Linked DNA regions of Mus musculus. The protein of the gene in region 1 interacts with the protein of each later gene in a pairwise test. Links are inferred from orthologs where the notes say so. Each region holds a gene or a part of one and is shown in the gene's direction. Other genes may lie near its edges.

Region 1 (4,002 bases):
CCACGGAACCACAGTCCATAGCCCCAAACAAAGGTTAATTAATCCTCTTGGCCCCTAGACTTCTGCTGACCCACCCTTTTCTAAGTTAAACTTCCCTTCCCTCTGCCCTGCCTTTGACCTTGGAGATCCTGACAGTGGAGAGAATGCTGGCTTCGGGGCGAGGTTTTAAGGCCAGGCTCTGACAGAGTTATCTGTGTGACACTGAGGAGGTTACTTGACCTCTCTGCACATCAGTTTGTTCACTGTAACAAGAGGTGGGAAACAAGCTGTGCCTTCTAGGGCGATGAGGGGATTAAAAACTCAGACCAGCTGGGCAGAGGCGGGCGGATTTCTGAGTTCGAGGCCAGCCTGGTCTACAAAGTGAGTTCCAGGACTGCACAGAGAAACTCTGTCTCAAAGACCAAAAAAAGCCGGGCGTGGTGGCTCACGCCTTTAATCTCAGCACTCGGGAGGCAGAGGCAGGCAGATTTCTGAGTTTGAGGCCAGCTTGGTCTACAGAATGAGTTCCAGGACAACCAGGGCTACACAGAGAAACCCTGTCTCAAAAAACCAAAAAAAAAAAAAAAAAAAAAAAGACCAAAAAAAAGGAGGGAACAAAACAAACAAACAAGAGAACAACCGTCAGATCAGAAACCAGGTCTACCTTTGCAAGCCCCTGAAACAAAGCCAGACAGAAAGCAAGCTCAGAACAGGGGTGGTTGATCTGGGCTTTGCAGCTGGGCTGTTGCTTGCCTTTCTGATTGGACCTGGTGTGCTGAGTCTCTAGTGAGTTCTGCTCCAGTTGGCCCTGGAGGCAGTGTAGGCAGAAGATTCGTGGATGGAATGACTTCAGAGTGAGGATCCCCGCCCCCCCCCCCCCCCCAGGTGAGGAGCACTGGCAAGCTCCTGCTTTCCCTGAAGCCAAGGTCCCCTTGGGATAGATGCTCCCTGTGTGATACACACACCATCTCCACCACCGAGAGGGCCTGCATTCCGCAACCAGCACCAGTGACCCCTGCTGCCCTAGCTTGTTGACCTTGTTTGGGGAAGAGAGTCCCCCATAGCCCCGCCCCTCCCCATCCCCCCGCTCTGGCTCTGCTCCATTCCGCCCTTCCCAGTTTCTCTTTGAGAAGCCTCTGGTCCCTCCCGCTGCACATTTCCAGGAAGGGCTGGGCCACTTGGCTCTCTTTCTCCCTGCAGCTTTCTTGGAAGTCCTATCACTGAGGGCTGATTATATTCCCATTACAAAGAGAGGGAAACTGAGGCATGAGAGGCTTATTCTCTTTTTTTTGTTGTTGTTTTGTTTTCTGTTGTTGTTTGTGACTGGGTTTCTCTGTGTAACAGCCCTGGCTGTCCTAGAACTCTGTTTATAGACCAGGCTGGCCCCAGACTCAGAGAGGCCCACCTGCCTCTTCCTGAGTGCTGTGCCTTTGCACTCACAGACTTATCCAACCCCTGTTTTTGTGCTACAGGTTATTCTCCTGGTTCACTGGCTGTTGACAACCTGGTAAGTGACTCTGGGTGTCTGGCTGTATCCACGTCTTCTGGCTGTGTGTTGTGTCACCTGGGGTCAGTGCTCCCGGGTCCTGTCTGCCTGGCCAGGTCCCATTCTGCACTGTTTCAGTCCATCACATTTAGCAGTTCGTTCGGCGCAGGGCTGGATCTATCTTCCATCTACACAGTGGGATAAGGACAGGCCCCTGCGGCAGTGCGTACTAACCAAGCCCCTAAGTGGGGCTCCAGGGTGCAGCTGCAGCTTGACCTCACTGTCACTTCGGTCGTGTGTTTGGAGCTGCCAAAAGCAAGTCAGGAAACCACTGAGATCACGTGTGCTTTGCAGGCTTTGAGGGGCAGTGGCCAGGCCAACTGCTGTAAGCGATGTAAACAGCAGGGAGTGGGGTGTCACTTTCCCTGCAGCTCCACATTGGTGACTAGGCTGAGCTCACACCTGCTTTCCCGAGACCGAGAAAGACTGGAAAACATCGGACCTCTTGGCCTAATTGCTAATTCCACTGTTCCAGTCCCAGCCCTGCTAATGGTCGGGTCCCAAAGAAACCCAGACAACGTACCCGTGGCCCCATCCAGTTCCCCCAGCATCACTCAGTATCTGTGGCCCTGCCCAGTTACCCCAGCATCACTCAGTACCCGTGGCCCCGCCCTTCTCACTCTGCCCCCTACCCTAACCCTCTCCAGCTCGCGATCTGGGCTTCCCTTCACCTAGCTTCTGATTCCGTTTTGGCTACCTGCTGTCTTTGTTCTGCCCTTGGCTCCTCTTCTGGACCACTCTATCTCTCTGCCCCTCTCAACCTCTTTCTTTCTCTTCCTCTGATGCTTTCCCCCACACCCCCCATGGCCTTACTCATTTTGCTGGCCATGCTCAGTCGGGATCCTTGCGGATACCTCTGCTGTCTCTCTCTCATATCTACAATAAAACCTTCTCCTCACCCATTCCTAGGATCGGTCAGTCCTCATGGTCATTCATTGTGCGACTGTGTGACCTGGTTAGTCACCTATTAAGTCGGTGACTTTGAGTCTGTAAAATAAGACTCGTTAACAACACCTCCCTCCAAAGAGCAGCTGTGAACCAATGAATTTAGAACAAGTGGGGCAGAGTCAGGTCCCAGGAAGTGCCCCGTGTTAACTGTGATAAGCCGGCTCTGCAAGCAAACTAGTAGGCAATGTCAGAGATACTCTGAAAACTTGAGCAGGGAGGAGCTTGGTCAGGCCTGCATGAGAGTGGATCTCTCAGGCAACGTTTGAGCTCTTAAGATGGCAAGAAATGGCTGCCTGTTCAGGAAAACGAAGCCTCAAGGGTGTAGCAGCCAGGAGGTAAGGGTGGGGCTCTCGTGGGAACCCCATAGACAACAGCAAAAAAGGTATCTTATTCCAAACCGGTGGGAAGGTTGGCTTGGAGGAGTCACATGATCTGATTCACACTGCCTGCTATTTCAATAACTGCCTGCAGGGGGCAGGAGTGACTATTCTCAGAGGAGGTTAAGACCCTGGAACAGGGGGAAGGAACTGTGTGGACGGGGTGGGCACCTCAAGTTGGTGACTAGCTGATTGATAGTGTGTGTCTCTCTGTGCAGGGGCTGCTTGGTGTTCTCAAGCTCCTATGCTTGGGGCAACTTCACTATCCTGGCCCTGGGTGTGTGGGCTGTGGCCCAGCGGGACTCTATAGATGCCATAGGCATGGTGAGTTGAAGTGGGGAAACTGGCCGTGCGCCCCTCGTCTGCCCGTGTCTTCTCTCTCCCTCATACCCGACCCTTTGCTGTTCTGCACATGGCAAGCCTAGCGAGGCCAGCCACACAGCAACCCACCTCTGCTGCTGTCCCCCTCCAAGACAGACATGGGGGAAGGTCACAGAACCCCAACGGCTCCTTAGGAGAATTACAAAGGGGGTTTTCCTTGTCTTCTTGCAGTGTAAACAGAAAGTATGGACTCCAAGGGACTGTCCCTCTCAGAAATTCTGGAGACAGGCCCCTTATGACCTCAATGGCAGGAGATGGGGCTGAGGAATTCTGGGGCAACAGGCTAGAGCCAGACTTGTATGTTGTGCTCTTAGGCCACACAGGTGCCAGTCACAGGCTGCCAGTCACCAGGCTGGGGTGTGTGTGTGTGTGTGTGTGTGTGTGTGTGTGTGTGTGTGTGAAGCTTGGGGTCTGGAGAGTCAGTGGCCATGATATTGTGATGGTGTCCCTTGCAGTTTCTTGGTGGCTTGGTTGCCACCATCTTCCTGGACATTATCTACATTAGCATCTTCTACTCGAGTGTTGCCACTGGGGACACTGGCCGCTTCGGCGCCGGCATGGCCATCCTCAGCTTGCTGCTGAAGCCCTTCTCTTGCTGCCTCGTCTACCACATGCACCGTGAACGAGGGGGTGAGCTCCCCCTCCGCCCCGGTAAGTCCTGCTCTACCCCGCCTTCCCCTGGTGGCCCTCCCTTGGCCCAGAGCACAAGGGGAGCCAGGGAGGTTTCGGCTCACAGAAGTGGCCTGGAGCCTCTGCCGCAGGGACATCTTC
Region 2 (4,489 bases), on another chromosome or scaffold:
GGCATGGGGTCCGGTTCGCGGCCTGAGGGCTCAAATCCCGCGCGGCCCCAGACCCCCGGAGCCCCCGCCCAGGTCTTCCGCCCCGGGCGGGGCAGGCCCGGGAAGACTCGCGGAGGCCCGCCCGCCCCGCCCGCCGGTCCCGGAAGCGCAGAGGAAGCGGCCCGGGGAGACGGCCTAGGGGTCGCCTTTCCCCTTCTCCCCCAGCTAACCTTGAAGTCGTTGCCGCTGAGGTCCACGCCGCGCACGAACGGCAGCACCCCGGTGGCCTCCATGGTGGCGCAGCTCTCTTACGGGCAGGGAGGACGCGGGGCGGCCGAGAGCCGCGGGCTGGGTCAGCGCCGGCCCCGCCCCTTTAACCCGCGCGCGCCGCCTCCCGGCCGCGGCCTCTGCGGGAAGTGCTGCTAGGCGACTCCCAGAGCTGCGAGGCCTCCCTGGGACCAGAGTTCTGGGGAGGCCTGTAGGGGTCCCGCTGGAGATGATCAACACTTCCAGTCTCCTGTCGGAACGTGGAGGGTGGGGTCCAGGCACTGTCGCTTGGGCTGCTGTAGCCTCTGGGGCTGGCCGTGACCCAGGAGTGATGGTGGTAACAACGTCAGGGACACAGGCAGTTTGTGTGTGAGGGATCAGTGGTGGTGGTGGTGGTGGTAGTGGTGAGACTTCCGGGGCTTTGGGACCTAATCCTTCAGCTTCAGGACTCAACTTTGATCATGTGTAACACGGTCCCCAAAGTTGCCAGAGTACTCACATGTGGCAGCTTAGAGAGCAGGCTGCACAAACACTCACAATTCTCCCTTGGCATCAGGACTCCAGTCACCATTCTTTATTGATTTGTTTTGTGCTCTAGATCAGTGTATATCTCCTGGGCCAAGCTCTTAGTGGCCATCTTGCCCTGGCCAGCATACAGTAGGTTTCCCATAAACAGACACAGCTGTTCTATGGAAGTCCAGGGTCTGGCATCCCGGGTTTCAGGAGGGAAGAGACTGATAGAGTTCCCACGACAGATGGCAGAGCTCTTTTCCCATTATGTGTCAGGCAGGCCAAACGGAAATGGAACCACCAGGCACTCTAACAGGGGCGAACTTGAGAGGCAGAATGTGGGCCTTTGGGCTAACTGCAGTTTTGTCTGCCTGGCCCACCAAGGGACCATGAGCTCAGACTCCACACTGAGGCTCTCATTACAAGTACACACAAGGTCAGATGTGAGACTAAGTACGACTGCTGAGAATTCGATGTCAGTTGTGGCTTTAGTGTGAGGCCCTTTCTCAAGAAACAAAACACCCGAAAGTAAGTAAACTAGACAAGCCCCTGAATGATTGTCACACTCACCACCTCCCCCGCCCCCCTTGCGCTATCAATATAACCTTGCGCCTTTAAATCCGGAGTATGCTTGTGGTTTCCGCCCCAGACGGTCCCGGGGCGTGCCTGGCGATCATTGGCTGAGCTGCTCCGTTTTGAGCACGTGTGCGCAGGAGTTGTGCGCTCGGATTGGAGCGAAGGCCTGCTTATCCAGCGTGCCTTTCGGGTCACTTGCCGCCTCGGGCCTCGGCGTTCGGTTCCCGGGGTTTGAACGTTCCATTCCTAGGCGAGTCCTGGGCCTCCAGGGTCCTACTCGCCCTGTCCTTGGGTCCATGCGCTGACGCTCGGACGCAGGTACGGCTACAGCGCACCGGGTGGCCCGGTGTCTCCCAGCACTGGGCGTGGCGCGCATCCCGGGGCAGGTGGGGGCGTGGCCTGCGGTCACTGCGGTGGGAGGGAGGACTTGGGAACTGAAGAGCAGAGTTCGAATCCCAGCGGTGCCTCTTCCCGACTTGGGTATTGCACACGATTTCCAGGGCCACAGTGACTTCGCTCTTGAATAGAGTCTAAGAGCCTATTTGGTTACACGTTTCTGCTCAGTCATGATCAGAAGCAATCAGCTTTGGCCAGAATGTAAGAACAGGTGAAGTTCAGGCTGTCAAGAGTCGGGTTATTTTGTTATTTTTGTTTTGTTTTGAATAGAGGCTCTATTATGTAACTCTGGCTATCCTCCAACTCAGTGTGTAGACCAGGCTTGCCTTGACTGCCTCTGCCTCTTCAGTGCTGAAATTAAAGGCCTGCACCACCACATAGGGCCTAAGTGGGTTATATTTAGTCACCTATTTTATTCCTTTCTTACTGGAGTTTGAATACAAGACCCCTCTAGGTGTAGGGCTGAGTCCCACTTTAGACAGGTGATGGAATGCAAGCCCCTTCCATTTGCAGAGTGGCTTACTGCTCTGAGGGCAGTGGTGGGCAGTAACAGAGCAGAGCTGTTTCTGAGCTTGGAGTAGGCTCCCTGGCTGCCCTTTGACCTTACCAGGCTCGAGGACAGGGTCTTATTTTTAGTCTGGGGAGCATGGACAGGTGTCTCAGCTGAGTCACACAGTGCCTAAGGCTTCAGCTACTCTAGGCATCTTGTCACTTGGCAACTGAGTCCCAAGGCAACCATGGCCCTGAAAGAAGGGCTGAAGTCCTTGGTGCCCCGGCAGGCAATGACCTTTCTGGCTTAGTGGCCTGGGCCTGTGGATTTCTGTGACTTTTTCCCAAGTTCCTGACTGGGCCAGTCACACACTTCCCAGTCCTTACTGGTGCGGTCGTACAAATAAACAGAAGCCCTTGGCTCCGGGCCTTTCTCTCACCTTCTTACCCTCTCCAACTTTGTTCCGAGTCCATGGGCCCTGGCCAGCTTGTCCTGATTCAGTGTTTATTTAAGCCTACTTCACTCACCACTGCACCCTGGGGCCTTCAGCCTGGCTCTGATGGGGTTGCCCTAGCCCAGGTAGTTTTCTTGTCAAGGTCTGGGGGGGCCACTATCTAGATTCCTGAATTTGCTAAGGGTCTATCAAAGGTCTGACAGGCCCCACCCAGGCAAACTTTCTGGAAACCCATATTACAAGTATTTCTGGGCCTTTGGGTTCCTCCTGACTGGTTTTCACACAGTATGGCTGTTCTGGGTAGGTTCTGATTAGGAGTGAGGGAACTCGACCAGGAGGCATGGGGAAAATACTCAGGCTTTGGGAGTGGAAGAGTCTGGGGGCTGTGCTGTGAATCCCAGACCTTAGCACTCAGTTTGTGGCTTGGCAACTTTTGTCTTTGTAGACTCAGGGTGGTGATGTTGAACCCAGATTCCCAAGGTCTTGGGGTGGAGTCAGGAGAAAGGCCTGGATCCTTCCTATATGAACCCTTTTCCAGGGCTTGGAGGCTTGCAGGATTCAGGGAGGGGGCTGGCAGGTCCCCTGATTCCCTCCAAGAAACTCTTTGAGCAGCCCCTTTCTCACGGGTCCCCAGAAACCACCCTCTTGGTCATTGCTAAGCATCTATGCCTTACGAACTACATCTCTTTGCAGGTGACCATGGCAGAGTTCTCCCAGAAGCAGAGGAAACAGAGCGGCAGCGAGGGCCTGGGCAGTGTGGTGGACTTCCTCTTGGCTAATGCTCGATTGGTGCTAGGTGTGGGCGGGGCTGCAGTGCTGGGCATTGCTACCCTGGCTGTAAAGCGGGTAAGGCCAAGGGGGCAAGGCCTGCCTGAAACCTCCACAGGAGAAGGCCAGACTGGGGAGCTGGGGGACGGTGGGACTTTTGAGGTTGGACTGGAACACGGGGCCCCTACTTTTTCACCCTAGCTTCCTGGTTTGCTTTCCCCCCAGCTTTGCCATGGCCCCCGATGCTCTGATCTGTGTCACTTTGCCTATAGCTCATCGACAGGGCCACCAGCCCTCCAGATGAGGATGACACCAAGGGGGACAGCTGGAAGGAACTGAGCCTGCTGAGAGCCACATCGCCCCAAAAGCCCCAACCCCCTCCTGCTGCCTTCAGCCAGCCCCTAGCTACTGGGTCCCCCTCCCCCTCTGTGCCAGGTGAGCTACACTGCTTCTCTCTAGTGTGGTGAGCCCCTTGCACATGCCCAGCTAGTGAGCAGGTCGAGTTTTCTTAACTTGTGGGGCCTTCTAATATGTTCTCCTGGATGCTTCCCTCCGCAGTGGAGCCCACGCCCATTCATTCTCCCACGACACCTAAGTTCAGCACTATAGCACCCCTGTGCCTGACGTTCCAGGAGAGGCTGCTGGCCTTCGAGCGCAAGCATGTGATTACCCCAGAAGCCCACGTGACGTTGGCGAAACAGCTGGCTGGAGACATTGCCTTGGAGCTGCAGGCCTACTTGAGGAGCAAGTTCCCAGAACTGCCCTTTGGTGCACTCGTGCCGGGTGGGCCTCTCTACGACGGGCTCCAGGCAGGGACTGCTGAGCACGTGCGCCTGCTGGCGCCTCTGGAGTTGGAGCCGGGGCTATGGAGCCTGGTACCTGGCGTGGACACTGTGGCCAGGGAGCCTCGATGCTGGGCTGTACGCAGGACTCAGCTTGAGTTTCATCCCCGTGGGTGCAGCCCATGGGACCGCTTCCTGGTGGGGGGCTACCTCTCCTCCCGAGTCTTGCTGGAGCTGCTACGGAAGGCCCTGTCAGCCTCTGTCAAC
Region 3 (3,455 bases), on another chromosome or scaffold:
GCAGCTGGAAGTTACAGTGAGGGCACTGAAGAGGAAGGGGAGGACCTAGAGGCCGGAAGTCCTGGCTCCTGAGGGAATGAGGGGGCTCAGTCCTGGATTCTAGATAGGGAGCCCCTGATCCCTCTGTCCTGTGTGGGGAGGAAAAGTAGGGTCAAGTGGGAGGGAGTTGAGAAGACATAAGCCCCCACCTGCCCTGAGGGGCGGTAGAAAATGGAAGCTCCTTTAGAGAGACATTTGGTGATCTAATAAAACTGATGTGAAACTGTCAAAGTGTGCTTCTTCAAAGGGCTGGTTTGGTAAGAATCGGACTGGGGCAGGGCGGGGCAAGAAGGTTTGATATGGTAGCCTCATTCTTCCATTATCAGGGATGAGAACAAGACAAATGGCTCCTTACCTAGGAGATAGCCATGGTTTAATGTCTAGAAATGGACGTTAGGATAATAGGTTGAACAAAGCTTACCTGCTCCTCACCCACCTATGCTCCAGACAATTCTTTACCCCCCCCCCCAGTCCCTGGATTGGCCCCTTCACCCGAGACAGCACACACAGCTCTACTCCTCTCTCTGTTTTATTTTAATTTTTGGAAGGACAGGGTCTCATGGAGCCCAAGCTAGCCTTAAACTCATGATCCCTCAGCCTCAGATCTCTTGAGTGTTGGGGAGGCAGACCTATGTCATTGCATCAAGAGATGGCGGAAACACTTTTGTGCTTGCCTGTAGAGGAGCTGTTGCCCACTACTGGAGGACCTGAGGCAGAGGACCCAGAAGTGTCACTTTGTCTTCCACTTCCCCAGACACCCTCATCTTGGTGCTAAGACGCCTATGCTGGAGGGTCCAACCCAGGTGTGATGACTTCTCCCTCTATCTGCGTGATGAGGATGTGGGAAGGTCGTCTCCTCTTCAAGCTTTTTGGAATCCTGTCTGTCCTGGACAGAAGCTTTGACTAGGAATGTGGAATCTCTGCTCCCACCGACTCAAGTCCTTCTTCCTATGGGACTGGTGTTTTGACCCCACTGCCCCTTTACTGTTGGAAACTCTAATGCTAGAGTCTCAGAGTGTAAAAACCACAGGAAAGTGTGACACAACTGTTTCCTCAGCCACATCTCCCCTTTCAGTTAATTCACACCCTAGTATGATTAGCCCACCTCCCACCTCTGGGCACCCCCTCAAGTCCCACCCCACCCCCAAGGTCTTCCAGGAAACCAGTTGTCTCCAACTGTGGAGAACCTGTGCAGAACCTGTGACAACAGTCTAAACCACTACCTAGAACACGAGGGTAGATACCCCCAGAGCTGCAAGCAAGTAAAGGCTTCTGCAGGGCCCACCCCTACCACATAGGAGGAGAGGAGCCAATCGAAGAGGGGAGGCCAAACCACTCAGGAAGGGAGGGGGTAGGGAAGGTGTGAGAAGAATCAGATCAGACAGAGGACTCCTGGACAAAGCCGCTGCTTGCTAGCTGCTTCTCTGGCTCAGAAGACGAGGAATTCGGGTGCATGGCCTTTTTCTTTTTCTAAGAGCCAACAGTCTGGGTCATCTGTGTCTTTGTCCCCTAAGAAGTGGAAACCCAGAGCTGTGTCCATGGAGCCCTGCCGGTCCCTGGCCCTGTTTGCTGGCTCTCTGGGCCTGACTTCTTCTCTGATTGCTCTGACCACTGATTTCTGGATAGTGGCCACAGGTCCTCACTTCTCTGCCCACTCTGGCCTCTGGCCAACAAGCCAAGAGACTCAAGTAGCAGGTAAAGGGGCAATGGGCTCTTTGGTGGTGGGAATGTCCAGTGGGAAACAGACACTCAGAAACATCATCTTCCTTAGGTTATATCCATGTGACACAGAGCTTCTGTATCCTGGCTGTCCTGTGGGGCCTGGTGTCTGTGAGCTTCCTGGTTCTGTCTTGCATCCCAGCCCTGTCTGCTCCCGGCCGTGGCCCTCTGGTCTCAACTGTCATGGCTTTTTCTGCAGGTATGAATGGGATCTGGGCTGTTGGGACACCTAGACTGGTGAATCCTGCAGGGGCCAAGCTGGCTCAGCTGTCTCTTGTTCTTGTCCCCAGCTCTCTCCATATTAGTGGCTATGGCAGTGTACACCAGTATGAGATGGAGCCAGACTCCATTTTCTCAAGTCCAGACATTCTTCTCCTGGTCCTTCTACCTAGGCTGGGTCTCCTTCATCCTCTTCCTCTTTGCAGGTGACTACTCAGCCCACCTCCCTGGGGGAGGACCACGATGGGGGCTGGCGCAGGGCAGTGCAGGGCACTCAAGTACTTAATCTCTGCTCCCTGCCCCCCTCCCCCTCCCCCGCTTTCTCTCCACACCAGGCTGCCTGAGCCTGGGTGCTCACTGTAGAACCCGTCGGGCTGAGTATGAAACCTTGTGAACAGCAGCCAAGGACAGCAGGGTCATCAGGATGTTTGGAGCCTGTCCTCTCAGGAGCTACAAAAGGAATGCAGAATTCTGTCTCTGTCCCTCCCACCTTGCCTTATCCTTCATTGGTTTCTTCACACACTCAATAAAGAAGCATGCTTGAGATCTTATTGTTCCAAGATCAGTTTAGCCAAGACATAAACCGAGCCAGGCTTCTCATCCCAGTTACTCAGGTGGCTGGAGCAAGGAGCATCACAACTTCAAAGTCTGCCTGGGCAACATAGAGAGTTCAAGGCCAGCTAAGGCAACGTAGTGAGACCCTACCTCAAGGTACAAAGCTAAACAAGAGGGCTGGGATGATGGCTCAGTTATAGAGACTTGCTGAGCATGAATGAGGTCCAAGTTGCATCCCCAGCACCTAAGTCATGCATATATAAGCCTATGGTGGGTGGCACAGGATCTCTCAGGGAGGGTGAGAGCTATGCAGGCAGACCTGCCTACCTATAGCATATTCTGCCCTGGGTGGCCATAAGCTCTGGGTGTCTCTCTCGTGTCTTTAGTGTCGTTCTTTCTATCTTTCTCTTTTCTTCACCAAATGACCTCTCTTACTAGATTTCTCTCTCTTCCCCCCCCCTTTCCCCTCTTCTCTTTCTGTGGTCCACTCTGGGGACATTGATATGCATCACGCCCAAGCTCTAACCACCAGTCTTTGACACAGGCAGATGACAGCCACAGCCTGAGGATGTGGGAAAAAAAACTAAGCCCAGGCATGTCATTTTTTTAACCAGATATGACACTTAGCAACTATTATTTTGGTTAAACATAGAAGACGGAATGCAGAGCCTCCTGCCAGCTAAGGCAAGCCCTTGATCACCTAGCTACATCCTCAAACTCTCTTACACTTTTTGAGGCAAGGTTTCACTAACTGCCCAGGCAGTCCTTGAATTCATAGCAGTCCTACTATGGCAGCCTCTCAAGTAGTAGGATTATAAACATTCATTAGCACAGGAATGATACTATCCAAGCAGAGGTGCCTAAAGACAGAGCCATGGAACGCTATGGAAGGGGGTGATTTGTGTCTAGAATGTGGAATGTGG
Region 4 (4,002 bases), on another chromosome or scaffold:
GTGTCTGCTCCTCCCCAGGGAAGCTCAGTTTCCACCAAACCCAAGTGTCCCAGCGCCTGGCTGCTGACCTCCTGCCCTTCATTCCCAGCATGACGCCTGGAGAGGTGGCCCGCTGCGCCAAGTCCTTTGCCTTCCTCAAGTGGCTCAACCTGCCTTTGTTTGAAGCCTTTACTCAGGTGAGTTAGAACCGCAGGGTTATCTGTAGAGGCCTCCGTAGGGAACTGCTGCTTAATTATGAAGGCAAAGCCAAGCTGAAAATACTCGTTTGTGGGTCGTAAATACAGATTTCTCTTACTTTGATTTGGAAAGTCATGTCTAATAGTGAGGGGAAACATTTAGCAGTTGCCTGTTTTGTTCCTGAGTGTCCTGGTTCCATTTATCTTGGGGCAGCCATGGCTGTATGGGGGGGGGGCAGCTTTGTACTCCCAGCTACTGACCACTCTGAGTAGTATTGTATGCAAGCACGATGCCTGGGTGCATGTGACCCTGTAGCTGTCAGACGGCTTCTACAGCCACTATCAGGGAGTTGGATACCTGAAGCTGCCTCTGGTTGAACAGTTGGAGCTCTGGAGAGGGGAGAAATGGCCGCTAGGCCCTGACTTTGTCCGTCTAATGTCATAGCACCTCCTCAGCAGAGTGCAGGATGTCTCCCTGTCCCATGTGTGCAGCGTTCTTCTTGCCTTTGCCCGACTGAACTTTCATCCTGAACAAGAAGAGGATCAGTTCTTCAGCATGGTATGAGCACTGAAATGCCACTCCTGACATGCTGACTTCTGGCTCAGGCCACTGTCTAGGAGTAGGGGGTGGGAGTGGGCACAACATTTGACATGGGAGAATGGGTAAACTACTGGTATGATTCTGAGAGCAACCAGCCAGGGCAAACAGCTACATCACCATCTAGATGGCCTGATGAAATAGTCTTACTTCATCACTGGGGAGTATCACAAGGGCTTTGAGACCTTGGGTCTCTGCTTCTGGACAAGGTGTGAGTAAAGTAGCTAAATAACACCAGGATCCTGGACTCAGGCACGAGGAGTGTGACAGTCAGGACCACAGGTTGGCGGCAGACTTCCCTAGGACGTTGTGGTCGCTGGCTGAGCCTGCTCTTCACTGTGCTCCTTGCGCAGGTGCATGAGAAGCTGGACCCCGTGCTGGGGAGCCTGGAGCCGGCCCTGCAGGTGGACCTGGTGTGGGCGCTGTGCGTGCTGCAGCACGTGCACGAGACAGAGCTGCACACGGTTCTCCATCCTGGACTCCACGCTCGGTTTCTAGGTGAGGCTTGTCCCTGCACTCTACTGTAACATGGAGGCTCTGCTCTGCCCGCCAGGGAAGAAACGGGAGCAGAGACAGAAGAAGGCCAGAGCACAACCTCCGGCCTTTTCCCACCACTCCCTGCAGTTGGCCTCCGATCTTAACTTGGGAACACCAGCCCATGGCTGGGTGGAAGCTACTGCTGTATCTCCTGTGGTCCCCATTCTGCATCTGCTGCTGTACATCAGCCTACCTTTTTCTCTCCCTCCCAGAGAGCAAGTCTCCAAAGGACCAGAGTACCTTCCAGAAATTGGTCCACATCAACACCACCGCCCTGCTGGAGCACCCTGAATATAAAGGCCCTTTCCTGCCAGCCTCAGCTGTAGCCCCCATCCCCTCACCCTCTAATAAAAAGATGACACCCCTACAGAAGGAGCTGCAGGAGACACTGAAGGCACTGCTGGGGAACACTGACAAGGGCAGCCTGGAGGTGGCCACACAGTATGGCTGGGTGCTGGGTAAGGGTTCCCCTTCTGTTGGGAAAAAGTCTAAGTCGTCTTCCTTTTTTTCATGTATGTGAGTACATTGTCACTGTCTTCAGACACTCCAGAAGAGGGCATTGGATCCCATTACAGATGGTTGTGAGCCACCATGTGGTTGCTGGGAATTGAACTCAGGACCTCTGGAAGAGCAATCAGTGCTCTTAACCACTGAACCATCTCTCCAGCCCCCAGGGTCTAAGTCTTACAGGGGCCTTTGTAACCCTGCATGGTATATCAAGCAACAACCCGGATTACTGTGGGGTCTCTGAGGCATCACCTACAGCATCTCACCCTGTCCCCTCCCTGCAGATGCAGAGGTGCTCCTGGATGCCGACGGCCACTTCCTGCCCCTAAGAAACTTCGTTGCTCCCCACCTTGCCCAGCCAGTGGGGAACCAGCCATTGCCCCCAGGAGCTAAAAGGTATGTGGCCGGGGCTCCCTGGGCGTGGCCTGGGTAGGGATACAGCGGGGGTTGACCTGGGAACATGCTTTATAAGTACCCTTTTCTCCTGCTAGGATCGCTTTCCTGCGCTGGGAGTTCCCCAACTTCAACAGCAGAAGCAAGGACTTGTTGGGCCGTTTTGTCCTGGCCCGTCGACATGTGCTGGCTGCAGGCTTCCTGGTAGTAGATGTGAGTACCTGTTGAGCAAGGGGACACTGCAGAGGGAGAATCCCCTAGACGCATATAGGTTAGATACCCAGCTCTGGAGCCTAAGCTAGGTACCTCCCCTTACCCCACACCACTCCACACACACAAGCTTGGCTTGCCTCCTGTGGGTACATTACACCGGAAGTGCTGCCCAGCCGTGGGACCTCTTGCTCTGCCTTTGGAACTAGGGCTCAGACCTGTAACTGACTGCTGCTGTGTGACTGTGGAGCTGAAGCACAGGGATACCTCAGTGCTCAGATCACAGCAAGTGCTTAGTTTCCTCCAGAGAGAAAGTTCAGAGCTTTGAGGGCTACATAAAGTTTCTATCAGCTTTTCTTGAGTAGCCTTGCTGGGACCTGTCTGGTTTGCAACCTCTTTGTCCCTGCCAGAGCCAGAGGACCTTTCTGTGTGCATAGCCTCACACTCTGCACTCTTCCTGAAGACTTTGAGGCCAAGGACTGGATGTTTAAAGCTGTCAGTCAGCAGCACTGACAGAGTGGGAAGGGCCACTGGTCGTGTAAAGGCAGGAAAAGACTCCGTAGTCCATGTGACCTGTCTCTACTACCTTCTTCCAGGTCCCATATTATGAATGGCTGGATCTGAAGTCTGAATGGCAGAAAAGCGCCTACCTCAAGGACAAGATGCGAAAAGCAATGGCTGAGGAGCTAGCCAAATGACCTTACCCATCAGTTCAGACTGCTCCCAAAGACCTGACTGCTCAGGGACCCAGCAGTGAGTGTTGGGCAGGCCAGAGTTGTCATCCAACATCAGAGAGATTAACTGTGTCTGTAGGACGTGGTCAGAGTAGGGGGTGCTCAGCATCTCCAAGGAACGGGTGGTCCTAATAAATCCTTTGGTTTGGTGGAAGCCAGCTATCTTCCCAGGCTCTGTATCTATCTCCTCTCTCTCGTATTTTGCACACACATACATATCCTCTTCCCTAGCTCTCCAGGATTCTACCGAGTGGGCTCTCTTTCCCCAGCTCCCCCATAATGCCTGTGTGCTGTGGCACAGCAGAGCAGGGCTGACTTGAGAGACAGAAAACTGAGACTTAAATGGGTAGGGTCCTGGACACTTGAGCTTCCTGGGAAATGTACTTGGAGTGTATAGCAGAGTTGTGATTACTATCTTGAGAGGTGCCCACACCACCCCCCACCCCCACACCCCCGCACCCCCGTGCCACTAGAGAACATCTGAAGGGAACAGGTGCTGTGAAGACATTTGGAAGGCCCTAGTTCTGGGACAAGAGTAAAGTCCACTTGGCTGATGCTACAAGATCCATGGCCAGACTCATTCTCATGACTACTACAGCCAACCCAGGGACCGCCCTTCAGGTGGAGCCCTGGGTCCCCTGCAGCTCTGAGTAGCAGCAGGATGTCTACCTTCTACCCTCTGCAGGAGTCTCCCATAGATAAGGCTCGCCCAAAGGGGAGACTTGCAACAAAGGGGGTTATTACCCTACTTGGTACATTCCTCAAAGCACCAGTCCTCTGTGTGACTTAGCACTTCTATTGTCCTGACAGACTCTTGGTTACCACAGAGGTGAGGGAGAAGCAGAAA
Region 5 (4,002 bases), on another chromosome or scaffold:
TAGCTGGGCAGTGGTGGTACATACCTTTAATCCCAGCATTCGGGAGGTAAGGACAGGTGGATTTCTGAGTTTGAGGCCAGCCTGGTCTACAGAGAGTTCCAGGACAGCCAGGGCTACACAGAGAAACCCTGCCTTGGTCTGGTGAGATGGCTCAGTGGTTAAGAGCACTGACTTCCGAAGGTCCAGAGTTCAAATCCCAGCAACCACATGGTGGCTCACAACCATCCTTAACAAGATCTGACTCCCTCTTCTGGAGTGTCTGAAGACAGCTACAGTGTACTTACAATAAATAAATAAATCTTTAAAAAAAAACAAAACAAAACAATGAATTTATTAAAAAAAAAAAAAAAAAGAAACCCTGCCTTGAAGAACAAAACAAAACCAATTCCAGCACCTAGCAAGTAGAGACAAGTGGATCTCTGAGTTTGAGGCTAGCTTAGTCTACAAGTCAAGTTCCAACCCGACAAGGGCTACAGAGTGAGACCATGTTCCAAACCAACACCTCCATCCCTCTCCTCCCCCCCCCCCCAAAAAAAGGAAAGAAAGATGCTTTTAGCAATCCTGAGGTGATCCTGGCTCTCTTGTTTTATCAAACAAGACTGGGCTTCACTATGTAGCCCAGGCTAGCCTCAACTTCCTGTTCCTCTTTCTTCCTGTCTTGGTTTACTTTTTTTTGTTGCTATGACAAAATATCCTGACAAAAGAAACCTAAGGGAGAAAAGGAGCTGGCCACAGTTGCAAGCAGGGTCCATCACAGTGGCGGGGGCTTGGGGCAGCTGGCCATATTGTATCCATAGTGAAGCAAAGCGTTGCTGTGCTCAACTCCCCAGCTCCCCCTCCCACACCCCTCTTTTTAAACATTTATTTATCATGTGTGTGCATACATACATGCTCGTACCATGTTATGCATGTGGAGATTGGAGGTTAGCCCTCTGGACTTGACTCTCCCAGCATGTAGGCTCCCAGCGGCAAGCACCTAACTTGCATGCTCACATTCTCCTTCTCAGAATCCTAGCTCAGAGCCACCCACCCACCCACAGCTGGTGGCTCTATCCCACCTTGGTTTACATCATCAGAATAACCCTCCATGGGCATGCCCAGAGACCCCTCTCCCGAGTTCAGGAATTACCGGACTGCGCCCCATTGCCAGGCTGTGCTTGCCATCCTGTCATCTGTAAGAACTCCACATGCCCTGGTTCTGTCAGGGGCCGTTGTCTCTGAAGGTTCTGCCTAGCTCTGAGAAGGTTCCAGCACGAAGGCTGGCCGTTGCAGACGCTCCTGGGTTTCTATCCCTTCCATTCCCCCCTCAGAATCCATGTGGGGCCCGGGGAGGCTCTGGGGAGAAATGTGGAGCAGCGAGCACTCAGGGCTGACTGTCCCTTCTCACCTCCAAAGGTGGTGTGGCCCCTGCAAGATCCTAGGACCGCGGCTAGAGAAGATGGTCGCCAAGCAGCACGGGAAGGTGGTCATGGCCAAAGTGGACATTGACGATCACACAGACCTTGCCATTGAATATGAGGTAGGTGTTGGCAGAGCGTTGCCTCAGGGAAGCCAAGGCAGGTGCGCTGTGACCAGTAAGTGACGTGTCTGCTGTTGTTCTGGAGCTCTTCAAAGGTCTCGGGGCTTTGCGCTCGTGGCTCTGTTGATCCACAGACACCCTCAGGAAGTGGATTATGTGACCACTAGGTCCTCCTGTGTCATTGTTCTTTTGAGATAGGGTTTCATATCATGCAGGCTGTCCTTGAACTCCGGATACTCTTGCTTCAGCCATTCGAGCGTTAGAGTTATAGGAGTGTCCACCATATTTGACTACAAGCCATCCTCTCAGGTCTTCCTGCCCTGTCCACCTCACTGGCTTCCAGCCATTGCTTTATGAGCCTTGGCATGTGTGATCGAGTTAAGGGGACAGAAGGGGACACCCGTGTCCCCAGGTGTCCCTTGTTCTGTTGCGAGATGATCATTTTACCCTGAAATGAAAAGTTGTCTGAAAAGAGACACACTGCAGGTTGTTCTGAGGGAGTGGCCAGGACGGGGAAAGTGTCACATTCCAGAGCCTCTGACCTGAATTGTGAGTGAAGGGTGCAGAGAAGAAGAGAGCTGGACACCAAGTCCTGAAGGAGCCAGAATGGTGCCTTAAGTCTCACTACAAAAACAAGGAAGACAGGAAGGGATTGGCCTGTGTGTGTGGGCATCCTTTGCCTGACGTGCAGGAAGTGGCAGCAGACTACACTGAGCTTGGGTCTGGAGAGATAGCTCAGCAGTTAAGAGCACTGACTCGTGTTCAGGGGACCTTGGTTCAATCCCCAGCACCCACATGGCTGTTCACAAACATCCGTAACACCAGCCCCAGGGGATATGGCTCTCTTCAAGCCTCCCCTAGTGTAGCATCCCCAAGGTGTATTTGACATGACATACAGACAAAGCACCCACATAAAGGGGAAATTTCAAAACAAAACACACTCTGACCGCACCAAAGAGCATTCAGGAAAGTTGAGGGGTGGGAGAGATGGCGCAGTGGTTAAGAGCACTGGCTGCTCTTCTGGAGGACGTGGATTCAATTCAATCACTCCAGTCCCAGAGGCTCAGACGCCCTCTTCTGGCCTTTGTTGGCAAAATTCCCATACCCATAAACTTTTTTGAAGTTTAAATAAGTAAAAATATTCACATACAGCCAGGCTGTGGTAACTCATACCTCTAATTCTAGCACTCAGGAGGCAGAGGCAAATAGGTCTCTGAGAGTTCAAGGCCAGCTTGGTCTATAGAGCAACAGGCCGAGCTACACAGGGGAACCCTGTGTTGAAAAACAAACAAACAAAACATTAAAATAAACAATATCAAAGTTAAAAAACAAGTTTGCAATTTTCTTTTTTTTTTTTCTTTTGAAAAAGGGCTTTGAGTGTCTGAGGGGCAAGTGGCAGACACATGAGGCTTTTCAGGGCAGTGAGGGCTGAGCCCTCTCTGAAGTCCCCAGCCACAGGACAAAGTAAAGGCCGCAGCATGTTCCAGCCACAGTGTTTACAGCCTCGGGCAGCAAGTGGAACTTAGCCCGAGGGACATGGTCCACTCGGTGCTTTCAAGTATGGGCTCCCAGTTCAGAGGCCTTAGCAGTCACGGACACACACTTTGGCTTCCAGTGTTCAGATTTTTGGCTTGGGGACAATCAGCCAATGACGTCTGTGTAAAGTCCAAATTCTGATGGATGCTGTGGAGAGAGGAAATGCGGGGAGGGGAGGGGTGGAGGAGGTCTTTCGTTTTCCTTTTTTTTTTTTGTTCTTTGATTTGGCCTTTTGAGGGAAAATCTTTTGAAGCTCAGGTTGGCCTTGGCGTCACCACCTAAGAATGGCCTTGCATCTCTGATCTTCTGCCACCTTCTAAGGGCAGTGCTTACAGGCACGCACCTTCACATCTTTCAGAGGACTCTCGTCTCAGAGGAAGTAACGTGAGAACAGAGACCTGAATGGAGCAGCGAGTGAAGCTTACGTGTCTCAGGAAAGAGCCCCTAGGCAGGGCAGACAGAGGCCCTGGGCTGGCCACAGACCGTGGGGGTGGGGGTGGGGGTGGTGCAGTCTCCTGTGGGCCCTGGACCACCACCGCAGTTGAAGAAAGAGAGGTTCTTTGTGGCTATGGCTGGGGGAAAGGAAGAGCAGGGTTGGGAGGCCCAGTGTCTGGGAGAGCAGAACAGACTGGAACAGGAGCTTCTGGGCGCCGACAGTGACACTCTGTCAGGGCCGAGGTCACACCTGGCTGCCTGGGGACCAGCTCTGCTTCACAGACATGTTTGGTCTGGCTCTGGAGAGTTTTAAAGAAAAGGAAATGTGGTTGCAGAGATTTAAAACTCAGGACTTGTGCGAGCCAGGCATGGTGGTACATGTCTGTAAAGCCAAGCCGGACATAAAGTCAGCCTGGGGAGAGATAGCAAGACCTTTTCCCCCCAAAAGAAGTTTATGGAAACTCCACCTCTCTTGAAACCCCAAGGCCAGGGTGAAACTTTCCCACCCTCTG
Region 6 (4,772 bases), on another chromosome or scaffold:
TGTGTGTGTGTGTGTGTGTGTATGTGTGTGTGGTTTCTTTCAAAGAGTGGTCTTAAACATGATATGTCCTGTGCAAAAAACAAAACACAAACACACAGTCACAAAGATAAATGCCTACAAACATATCCTCTGCCTAGCCAGCTCATTGTCAAGGTCTCACGTTTAGATAACGGTACAGTTCTCTGATTGATTATTGGAGATTTGGTCTGGAAATACTTGTCTCTCTACACATGCTGAACTTGAGACCCATGGGTGTAAGAAGGAAGAAAGCACAGAGTTTAATAAGTCACAAGTTCCCCTTGGTGAGATTAGAGAGACTTTGGGGGAGCAGGGAACCAGTGTCTTGGCTCTGTTGGCTTTATGCAGCCAGCAGGAGGTGACAGGACCCAGAAGAGTGCTGGCTTCAGGAGTCAAGGGAGAGACCCCAGCTGGAAAAGGGTGGGGTCTGAGGAGCAACAGTGAGGGGGTCAACCCTGGTCACACAGACAACGTCCCTGCATGCATGGCCTTTGGGTCCTTCACCCTGCTACAGTTAGTGAGTGAAGTGTACGGCCAGTCTCTCCACACCCCAGCTACCTCACAGAGCTGCAGAGCACTGGGGATAAACTGGGCTTGCTGATAGAAAGGGAGTGTTTGCAAGTGCTACACACAAATCAACCATTATTATTATAGGGGGTTGGGAGGTAAACACTGAGGTCAGGAGAGGGTCAGACAATCCTGACACCAGGAAGAGGCCTGAAGAGTCTCTAGGAGTCTCACTCCAGGCTGAGGAAAGGAGAGAGGAGGGAGAAGAGAAATTCTTTTTTGAGGACCGATAAGAAGGCCCCATTGTGGTGGCACGCCAGGCCCCTTGATTTCAATCTTGGGGAGGCTGAGTGTGGCCAGTTAGAACCAACCACCTCTAACTCCAGCTCCAGAGGGTCTGACTTCCTCTTCTGTGTCGCCACCACGCCACCCCACAGGCATTTACATGCACAGAGACATATAATTAAAAATAAAAATATTTTTTTTAAAAAAAGTCAAAACCATAAAAATGAAAGCATGGGAGAAAGTGACCCAGCCTGGGTTGCTGTTGTTTGTCGTCGTCGTCTTTGTTTCTTGTTTTGTTTTTTTAGCTTGCTGGCAGACTACAGGAAAGAAAGATTGAAAGATGCGTAGAGCAAGACCCGGCAGAGGAACTGACCTAACTGTGGAGAGGGTGATCTACAGTCTGTCCCCTCCTCTGAGATGTGCTTTCTTGGGCGCCGCCAGCAGGGTGTTTGTTTGAGGAACAGACAGGGGCAGGGCCATCTCGCAGGAAGGAAGAGAATTACGCGGGGAATTTGAAACAAAACTTCCCAGGGATCGCAAAGCTCGGCAGTCCCAGCCTATCGCTTTGACAAAACTACTTATCGTGGGAGAGAAGTTAGGCGGGGTGAAGGACTGAAAGGGGCGCGTGCCCTGGGTGGCGGTGACCTGAACCCCCGCAGCATCCTGCACCCTGACCTGCATGCTTGAAGAAGAGAGCTTGGGAGAACGATGGACTAGGCGCGGTCGCCTGGGACCAAGCAGCCGGGATGTAGGGAGGCGGGCTGGTCGGTAACAGTGATCCGGTGGCGACCTGGACCCCTCTGCGGCGAGCCAGGTGGGGGGTCTACGAACGATGTATGGGCGTGGCCAGGCCAATCCCAAAGCAGGATTTACAGTCACGAGAGAAAAAGACCAATCGAAATCCGGGGCGGCGGTGGTGGATGGCTGATAGGGCCAATGGGCTGCAAGCGCCGGGGCGGGGCGGGGCCGCGCGGAGTTTCAAATCGGCTGCGGTGGGCTAGGAGAGGGTGTTGATCTTCGGGTCCGGGTATCGAGCAGGGAGGTGAGCATGCGGGGTTACCGAGGGGCTTAAGGAGGGGGGTGGGGGACGGTCTCACGGGGAGCTCTGAATGGGGAACGGGTCAGGAGCTCTGGATAGGACCCACAAGACAAAGGGAATGTCTAGGAGTTGCAAACGCCCCATCGGATCCGAGGCCTTGGCTGGATTGCTAAATCTGCTCCGGAGAGGAAAATTTGTGAAAACAGCATACTGCTGGTGCCCTGCGTAAGCGCCGAGGCTCCGTGACCTGTGTGCCACTCCACTTAGCCTATGGGGAATAGGCTAGGATGGAAAGACGGACAAATTGCCGCCTTGCAACGGAGGCAGCTGCTGACCATGATGCCATTGGTCATCTTTCTGGCATCCACAATTGCCCAACAGGCCTACCCCGCGAGGTTCCACTTCATCTCTTTCCCAGTTCCCAAGGTCCCTGGAGCCTTGGAATGGGGTCAGGGAGTACTTTGATGACCTTTTGACCTCCCCAGGATCTAGCGGGCAGCGGAAACTGGACCAAGCACATGGCGTCTCAGTGGCAGGGCATGAGGACCTCTGTGCGCAGACGATCACTCCTAAAGGAGGAACAGCTAGAGAAGAAGGAGGTGACCCGGTCTGCTGGGGGTCATCCGGAGACCGGTCCCTTGGGCTCCCTGTGCAGACAATTCCAAAGGAGGCTGCCTCTGAGAGCGGTCAGCCTGAACCTCGGTAACGGCCCCTCCTGGAAACGCCTGGAAAGTCCAGAGCCAGAGCAGCAAGGTCTTCAGGCTGCAGCTCGCTCAGCCAAAAGCGCCTTGGGTGCCATGTCCCAGGTAACAATGACACCACCAGCCGTCTGTTTACAGAAGCGTCCTTGGTGTTGACTGTCCCTATCCTCAGGGAGACCCCAGGAATATAGACTCCATGGGGTCTTGGGGTTTGATTAGGTTCTTGCCATTTTCCCAGAACCCCGGTCATTCTGGCACATAATAGTTTCCCAACAAATCAGTAGGTGAATAAAGTCATGGAAGAAATTGGTGTTCCCCATGCAAGGTGACCTGCCATGTCCTGTGATAGAAAATTGCAGGAAATGGCTATCTATAAAGAGATACCAGTCTCAAGCTTAGTGGATAAAGACTTCCTAGAATAGGTGACTCTTCCAAGATCACTCAGGAAAGGGGAGGTGTATGTAGGCACAGGGCCAGTGGGATGCTGTGAGTGAGTCCAGCGTGGATGCTGAAGAGAAGAGTCCCCAGTGTGAAGCTAAGCAGTCAGTATAGTGAGAGAGGTGATCCTGTGTGCTGACCCCCATTTAAAGTCTCCCAGTCACACTCTTACACCTTAGCTGTCAACTATTTGGTAGAAAAAGGCAGAGGAGCGGGGCTTGCAGAAAGGGTGCAACTTCCTGAGCGGTTCAGAAGGCAGATTTGAGGGGTGGTGTTTGTGTGTGGTGTGTCCAAGAGCCTTCGAGCAGATATCTTCTTTTAATGTTTTAATATTTATCTATGGGAGGAGCGCTTATGCAGTGGTACTTGTCTGGAGGTCAGAGAAGGAATAAGGTCTCCCTCCACCGTGTGGGTTCTGGAGATCACACGAGTTGCCTGGTTTGGTGGCAAGAAGATGTACCTGTTACGATATCATGTTGACCCCACCTAGGTCTTTAAACCTGGAGCTGGAGATGTGGGCAGGTGTCCCCTGGACAGGACAGAAGCTATGAGAATGAGCAGACCTCTAAGAAGAGAAGGGGGAATGGCCCCTGGCATCTTGCTGGCATTCTGATGGTGTAGGGAGAGAGCAGAGGCCTCTGACGACTCCACAGAGAGGTCTCCTTGCCAAAGTCTAGCTCTGACTTGGAAGAGCCCTAAGATTGCTTTCAACATCGCTATAGCTCAGAACAATGAAATGTGACAGTTTGTCTAAGGTCACCCAACTCATGAAAACTTATCTCGGGCCTTGCTCCAACTTCTGGGTTCTGGTTTGCCAAGGCAAAGACAATCTAGCAAGGCTGTTTGACCCAGCCACATGTTGAAGATCCAAGGGTTGGGACTCAGCCCTGTAGATTATTGGGAGCCATGGAAGGGCTCAGAGCAATTAAGTGTTATGAGCAGACCTGTCATTGAAGTATGTTAGACTGAGATGGAGGAGGGAAGAGAAAGAATAGGACTAAGGTAGGATCCAGAGCTGGCATCCAGAAAACTGAGCCTCCCTCACTCTCTGAGTTAGTCTCTGCCTGGGGGCTCAGATGTAGAGTGGTCTTGCTGCTACCTGCTGAGTTACCACACTGGATCTCAGGAAGGTCTTGGAGGAGAGTACCATCTCATGGGGAGTCATGCTGTTGCTCTTGGCTTACTGTTGCTGCTGCTTAGTAACAGCAGACTGTGTTTGTGGGGCCAGCCCTGGGCTGGAAGAATGGCTAGAGCCTGGTAGCCCACCTTGGTCCTATCTGTGCCAACCTTCTCACATGAACCCATCACAGAGGATCCAGGAGTCCTGTCAGAGTGGCACCAAGTGGCTGATGGAGACACAGGTGAAAGTGAGAAGGAAGCGAGGAGCCCAGAAAGACAGAGGGTCACCACCACCCAGTCTGAGCCAGAAGAACACTCGGCTATGCAGGGCCAACCGGGATGCTAGAGTCGGGGGACATCTTCGCCTCTCTGGCCAGATGGGTCCGCATGCCCATCGCCGTCAGCGGCTAAGGAGGGAGTCTGCCCTCCGGAGCCCCTGTTCCTCCACAGAACCTCTCTGCTCTCCCAGGCAAGTAGTCGTCTGAGCCCAGGAGGACCTCCCCTTCTGTCCCACGAGTCTCCTCAGTCACCTGGGACGAGAATGCCCTGATCTGTCACATCCTAGTTCTGGCCCAGGTCTGCCCCAAAGCTGGTGAGGACCTGAGGGGGAAAAAAAATCTCTGAGCCTCAGTTTGCTTAGCTGTAAAAGGAATAGGAGATGAGTA
Region 7 (4,002 bases), on another chromosome or scaffold:
GTCCTCTGACCTTCACCTGCACGTATGGTGTGTGTCTAAGCTAAGTCAAGTTATACCTGCTGGCTTATATGGGTACACACACACATGCATGCACAAACACACACTCACGTAGACACATGTGTACACACACAAGCACCTTTTCTTGGCTCACTACTGTCCATTCACATCTGATTCAGAGTTTGGATCAAAGGTATCTTTGTGGAAGCCTTCCTTCTGTACCTCTCTCCAGCACTTGGAACGGGAATCTCTAATTATAGGCCACATTAGAGATTTACTAGACGAAATTATCAGCTATAGATATGACACCAGTCTTGGGTGGGGAACATCCTGTTCCCATACAAAGCCCAACTGTTAATCGATTCTTCAGGACTGAGTTATGTTTAAAAAAGAGGAAAAAAAAAAGGCTATTTAATTTTGAAAGTAAATGTGGCAGAAAGAACACTGGCCTGGTGTGATCTTCAGGTGAAATATCTGATTTTTTTTTTCACAAGTCTCGGTGTCTTTGTCTAGTAAATTGAGGACATAAAACCAGAGTATCACTGTCCACTTAGGACATTCTATTCTGGGCGCCTGCTGCCCAGCCTGAGGAACTGAGTTTGAGCTCCAGAATCCATGTCGGGGAAGGAAAGAACTGAGTCCTGGATTTTCCTCTGACCTTAACACACGAGCTACTAGCTTTTACAGACTTTACCTTCTGGCTGTGGTAATACAGTAGACTTCTCATTCACATACAACCTCTCCCCAAACTCTGATTCATAATAGCCTACTATAATTTAAATTTTTTTTGTGTGTGTGTGGAGCCATCAAGAATCATACCTTGAGACTGGAGAGATGGCATAAAGGCTTTGCCATAGTGGTGTAAAGAACTGGGTTTGTGGATGCCCATGGTGTGCTGGAGCTTTAGCTAGGAGAACCCTCCGTGCTCCAGAAGGGTCACAATGTTGTGGGGGGTGACCAGAACACCTGGGCTACACATGACAGGCTCCTGAAGGGAAAAAAAAAATAGGAGAGATGGGCAGAAAAAGAAGGGCTAGCTAGGGAGAAAGAAGCCTTGGGGAAAGTTAATGATGTCCTGGCAGGGTTGTTCAGTGGTTAGAGCTCTTGCTTGCTCCTGCAGAATACATCATGAGTGCTGGCAAGCGCTCGACCATCTGAGCCACCTCCCAGCATGGTGTTGTATGTAGTTGTATCTTCAGCTGACAAGTGCCACAGACAGACTCTCAAAAGAGAAGCAACAGAGGAAGGACAGAGGCCCTGCCTTGTCAGTGTGAAACCGGAATAAGAGGTCATTTATTCCGAGCTAAATCTGAGTGGCCATGCAGGGATACAGTTTCAGATTGTGCATAAAGATGTCTTCCACCATGAATACCATCGCTAGACCAGGCTATTAGCTTTATTTCTTTAAGCCTGCATGTGTGTGCATGTGTGCGTGCGTGTGCATACGTGTGTGAGCATAGAGTCAGTAGACAGCTTTCAGGAGGCCATTGTCCCTCCTACCTGCTTGGTCTTCTGTTTCTCCATTTGTACAGCAACCTCAGTTGCATAGGTTACTGGTCTCATCTCCCCATAAGTATACTGGGATTACAGATGTTTACCACCACATCTGGCTTTTTTTTAATGTCATTTTAAATGTTTTTATGTGTATTGTTTCGCCTGCACGCACGTCTGTATGAGGGTGTCAGTACCCAGGAACTGGAGTGACAGACAGTTGTGAGCCGCCATGTGGGGACTGGGAATCGAACCCACATCCCCTGGAAGAGCAATCAGTGCTCTTGACAGCTGAGCCATCTCTCAAGCCTCCCATGGGGCTTTTTATGTGGATTCCAGGAATGGAAGTTGGGCACTCAAGCGTGCATGGCAAGGGTATTTACCTGCATTTCCCAAGCCTCTCCAGCTCCTCCCAGGAAATAGTGCCCCCCCCCTTTAAGATTTATATGTATATGAGTACACTGTAGCTGTGTCTTCCGACATATCAGAAGAAGGTGTTCAATCCGATTACAAATGGTTGTAAGCCATCATGTGGTTGCTGGGAATTGCTTGGAAGAGCAGTCAGCACTCTTAACCTCTGAGCCATCTCTTCAGCCCCATCAGTGCTCCCCTTAGTAGTCTCCATGGTCCTCCCTGTTCCTAGTCCCTAGTAACCATGGCCTACTTTCTGTCTAGGTGGATTTTGCCCATTCTGGACATTTCATATAGATAGCTTTTTTTTTTTTAAAACAACAACAACAAACAATGTTTCAAGTAGCCCAGGCTAGCCTCAGACTCAATATAACTGAGGTGGTCTTGAACTCCTGACCACCCTGCCTCTGCCTGCCAAGAGCTGGGGTTACAGGCCTGTGCTGCCCCACGCACGCTATGAAGTATTAACATACCGGCTTGTTTGGTGTGTCTTTTCTAGGATCCTAAACACTTCAAGTCTGAGAAGACAGGCCGAGGGCAGCTAAGAGAAGGCTGGCGAGACAACCATCAACCCATCATGTGCTCCTACAAGCTGGTCACCGTCAAGTTCGAGGTGTGGGGCCTTCAGACCCGAGTGGAACAATTTGTGCACAAGGTGGGTTGTTGACCTGGTCCCTGGGATGTGGACAAGGTCCCGATTGCCATCATTGCCTGGTAGGAGATAGAATGTTTGCCCAGTGCCCCAATGCTGAAATGGTACCAAGTACTTATATCTAGAAAATACTTAGAGGTGAAAATGCATTTTCTACAAGGGTGTAATTTTCTCCCACTACTCTGTGTAGCAGTTTTACAGATCATTTCTCATTCTGACCTCTGAATCTACCAGATGAGTATATTTGGGAAGTTGGATTCACAGAATGTTATGTCCTGCTTTGCCAGTTAGGTTAATCTACCTTCAGACAGGGACACCGGGCAAGAGCCCAGAAGGCTTATCTCTGGGTACAGCTCCCAGGGATAATTCCCCCTTGGAAGAACTTGCACACATAGGCACCGTAAGCAGAAGAGGCCCCCAGAGGCAGAACAAGAGCTCCAAGTGGGCCCAACGCTTCTCCCTCCACTGTCCCCTCGCTAAAGGATGATGACCAAGCCCAGAGCGCAGACTTTAACCAGGCCCTCGCTTTGGAAAACAGATTAACTTTGGGGGCAGAAATCAATTTGATGGCACAAGTTTTCTCCAGGTCTTAAATAGGACTCTTCCATATGACTCTAAAATAATGGAACAGGAGGTGCCAAGCAGAGCCCTGTGTAACTGCTCTCATTTACATAAGGATAAATAATTGGGCCAGTGAGAGCACTTGCTGCCAAGCCTGACAACTGAGTTCAATGCACATGCTAAAGGAGTGACCTGATACCCACAAGTTATTTATCCTCTGACCTCCAGCCAAGTGTTGAGGCTTGCATGAGCGTGTGCGCACACAGCAATAAATAAATGTTATAAAATTTTAGACAGCTGGTCAGTGGTGATGCATGCTTTTAATCCCAGCACTTGAGAGGCAAAGGCAGGTGGTTCTCTGAGTTCAAGGCCAGCCTGGTCTACAGACTGAGTTCCAGGAAAGCCAGGGCTAACAGAAAAACTCTGTCTCAAATAAGACCAAATTAATAAAGTAAAAACAAAATAAAATTTTAAACAGACACATAAATAATTCCCAATTGTCCCAGGGGCTGCAATGTGGCTCTGTTGACAGATTGCATGGCTAGCACTCACACAGCCATGTGTTACATCCTCAGTACTCCAGAAACCAGTTTTGGTGGTGCACACCCTAATCCCAGCACTCTGGAGGTTGAAGCAGAGAAAACAGAAGTTCAAATTTATACTCACTTGCATAGTGAGTTCAAGACCATCCGGGGTTACAAAGATAGATAGATAGATAGATAGATAGATAGATAGATAGATAGATAGATAGGACCCTGTATTTAAAACAAAACAAAGAGCCAGGTGGTGGTGGTGCATGCCTTTAATCCCAGCACTCAGGAGGCAGCAACGGGTGTATCTCTGAGTTCAAGGCCAGCCAGAGCTACACAGAGAAACCCTGTCTCAGGATG

Evidence for each region.
Region 2: the proteins of Agtrap (region 1) and Mief2 interact in binary tests that used the Homo sapiens proteins (3 or more experiments, as listed by UniProt). The two-hybrid records come from large-scale screens. The link is inferred for Mus musculus from reciprocal best matches to the Homo sapiens genes AGTRAP and MIEF2.
Region 3: the proteins of Agtrap (region 1) and Nkg7 interact in binary tests that used the Homo sapiens proteins (3 or more experiments, as listed by UniProt). The two-hybrid records come from large-scale screens. The link is inferred for Mus musculus from reciprocal best matches to the Homo sapiens genes AGTRAP and NKG7.
Region 4: the proteins of Agtrap (region 1) and Tbrg4 interact in binary tests that used the Homo sapiens proteins (3 or more experiments, as listed by UniProt). The two-hybrid records come from large-scale screens. The link is inferred for Mus musculus from reciprocal best matches to the Homo sapiens genes AGTRAP and TBRG4.
Region 5: the proteins of Agtrap (region 1) and Txn2 interact in binary tests that used the Homo sapiens proteins (3 or more experiments, as listed by UniProt). The two-hybrid records come from large-scale screens. The link is inferred for Mus musculus from reciprocal best matches to the Homo sapiens genes AGTRAP and TXN2.
Region 6: the proteins of Agtrap (region 1) and Pimreg interact in binary tests that used the Homo sapiens proteins (3 or more experiments, as listed by UniProt). The two-hybrid records come from large-scale screens. The link is inferred for Mus musculus from reciprocal best matches to the Homo sapiens genes AGTRAP and PIMREG.
Region 7: the proteins of Agtrap (region 1) and Pitpnc1 interact in binary tests that used the Homo sapiens proteins (3 or more experiments, as listed by UniProt). The two-hybrid records come from large-scale screens. The link is inferred for Mus musculus from reciprocal best matches to the Homo sapiens genes AGTRAP and PITPNC1.

Annotation. Positions count from the first base shown.
Region 1 is NC_000070.6:148,081,443-148,085,444, reverse strand, and holds part of Agtrap (type-1 angiotensin II receptor-associated protein), read left to right. Parts: intron 1-1,451; coding exon 1,452-1,486; intron 1,487-3,068; coding exon 3,069-3,174; intron 3,175-3,686; coding exon 3,687-3,882; intron 3,883-4,002. UniProt on the Homo sapiens protein: Appears to be a negative regulator of type-1 angiotensin II receptor-mediated signaling by regulating receptor internalization as well as mechanism of receptor desensitization such as phosphorylation.
Region 2 is NC_000077.6:60,726,918-60,731,406, forward strand, and holds the start of Mief2 (mitochondrial dynamics protein MID49), read left to right. Parts: upstream 1-1,480; 5' UTR 1,481-1,650; intron 1,651-1,745; exon of another isoform or gene 1,746-1,809; intron 1,810-3,365; 5' UTR 3,366-3,371; coding exon 3,372-3,518; intron 3,519-3,712; coding exon 3,713-3,875; intron 3,876-3,998; coding exon 3,999-4,489. Other genes in the region: Flii (protein flightless-1 homolog), read right to left, coding at 210-272. UniProt on the Homo sapiens protein: Mitochondrial outer membrane protein involved in the regulation of mitochondrial organization.
Region 3 is NC_000073.6:43,435,727-43,439,181, forward strand, and holds Nkg7 (protein NKG7), read left to right. Parts: upstream 1-1,411; 5' UTR 1,412-1,577; coding exon 1,578-1,734; intron 1,735-1,810; coding exon 1,811-1,957; intron 1,958-2,048; coding exon 2,049-2,183; intron 2,184-2,312; coding exon 2,313-2,371; 3' UTR 2,372-2,520; downstream 2,521-3,455.
Region 4 is NC_000077.6:6,615,730-6,619,731, reverse strand, and holds part of Tbrg4 (FAST kinase domain-containing protein 4), read left to right. Parts: intron 1-18; coding exon 19-176; intron 177-621; coding exon 622-735; intron 736-1,127; coding exon 1,128-1,272; intron 1,273-1,523; coding exon 1,524-1,769; intron 1,770-2,102; coding exon 2,103-2,214; intron 2,215-2,309; coding exon 2,310-2,424; intron 2,425-3,017; coding exon 3,018-3,119; 3' UTR 3,120-4,002. UniProt on the Homo sapiens protein: Plays a role in processing of mitochondrial RNA precursors and in stabilization of a subset of mature mitochondrial RNA species, such as MT-CO1, MT-CO2, MT-CYB, MT-CO3, MT-ND3, MT-ND5 and MT-ATP8/6. May play a role in cell cycle progression.
Region 5 is NC_000081.6:77,922,060-77,926,061, reverse strand, and holds part of Txn2 (thioredoxin, mitochondrial precursor), read left to right. Parts: intron 1-1,395; coding exon 1,396-1,519; intron 1,520-4,002.
Region 6 is NC_000077.6:72,040,683-72,045,454, forward strand, and holds the start of Pimreg (protein PIMREG), read left to right. Parts: upstream 1-1,819; 5' UTR 1,820-1,852; intron 1,853-2,334; 5' UTR 2,335-2,367; coding exon 2,368-2,655; intron 2,656-4,298; coding exon 4,299-4,576; intron 4,577-4,772. UniProt on the Homo sapiens protein: During mitosis, may play a role in the control of metaphase-to-anaphase transition.
Region 7 is NC_000077.6:107,232,899-107,236,900, reverse strand, and holds part of Pitpnc1 (cytoplasmic phosphatidylinositol transfer protein 1), read left to right. Parts: intron 1-2,398; coding exon 2,399-2,554; intron 2,555-4,002.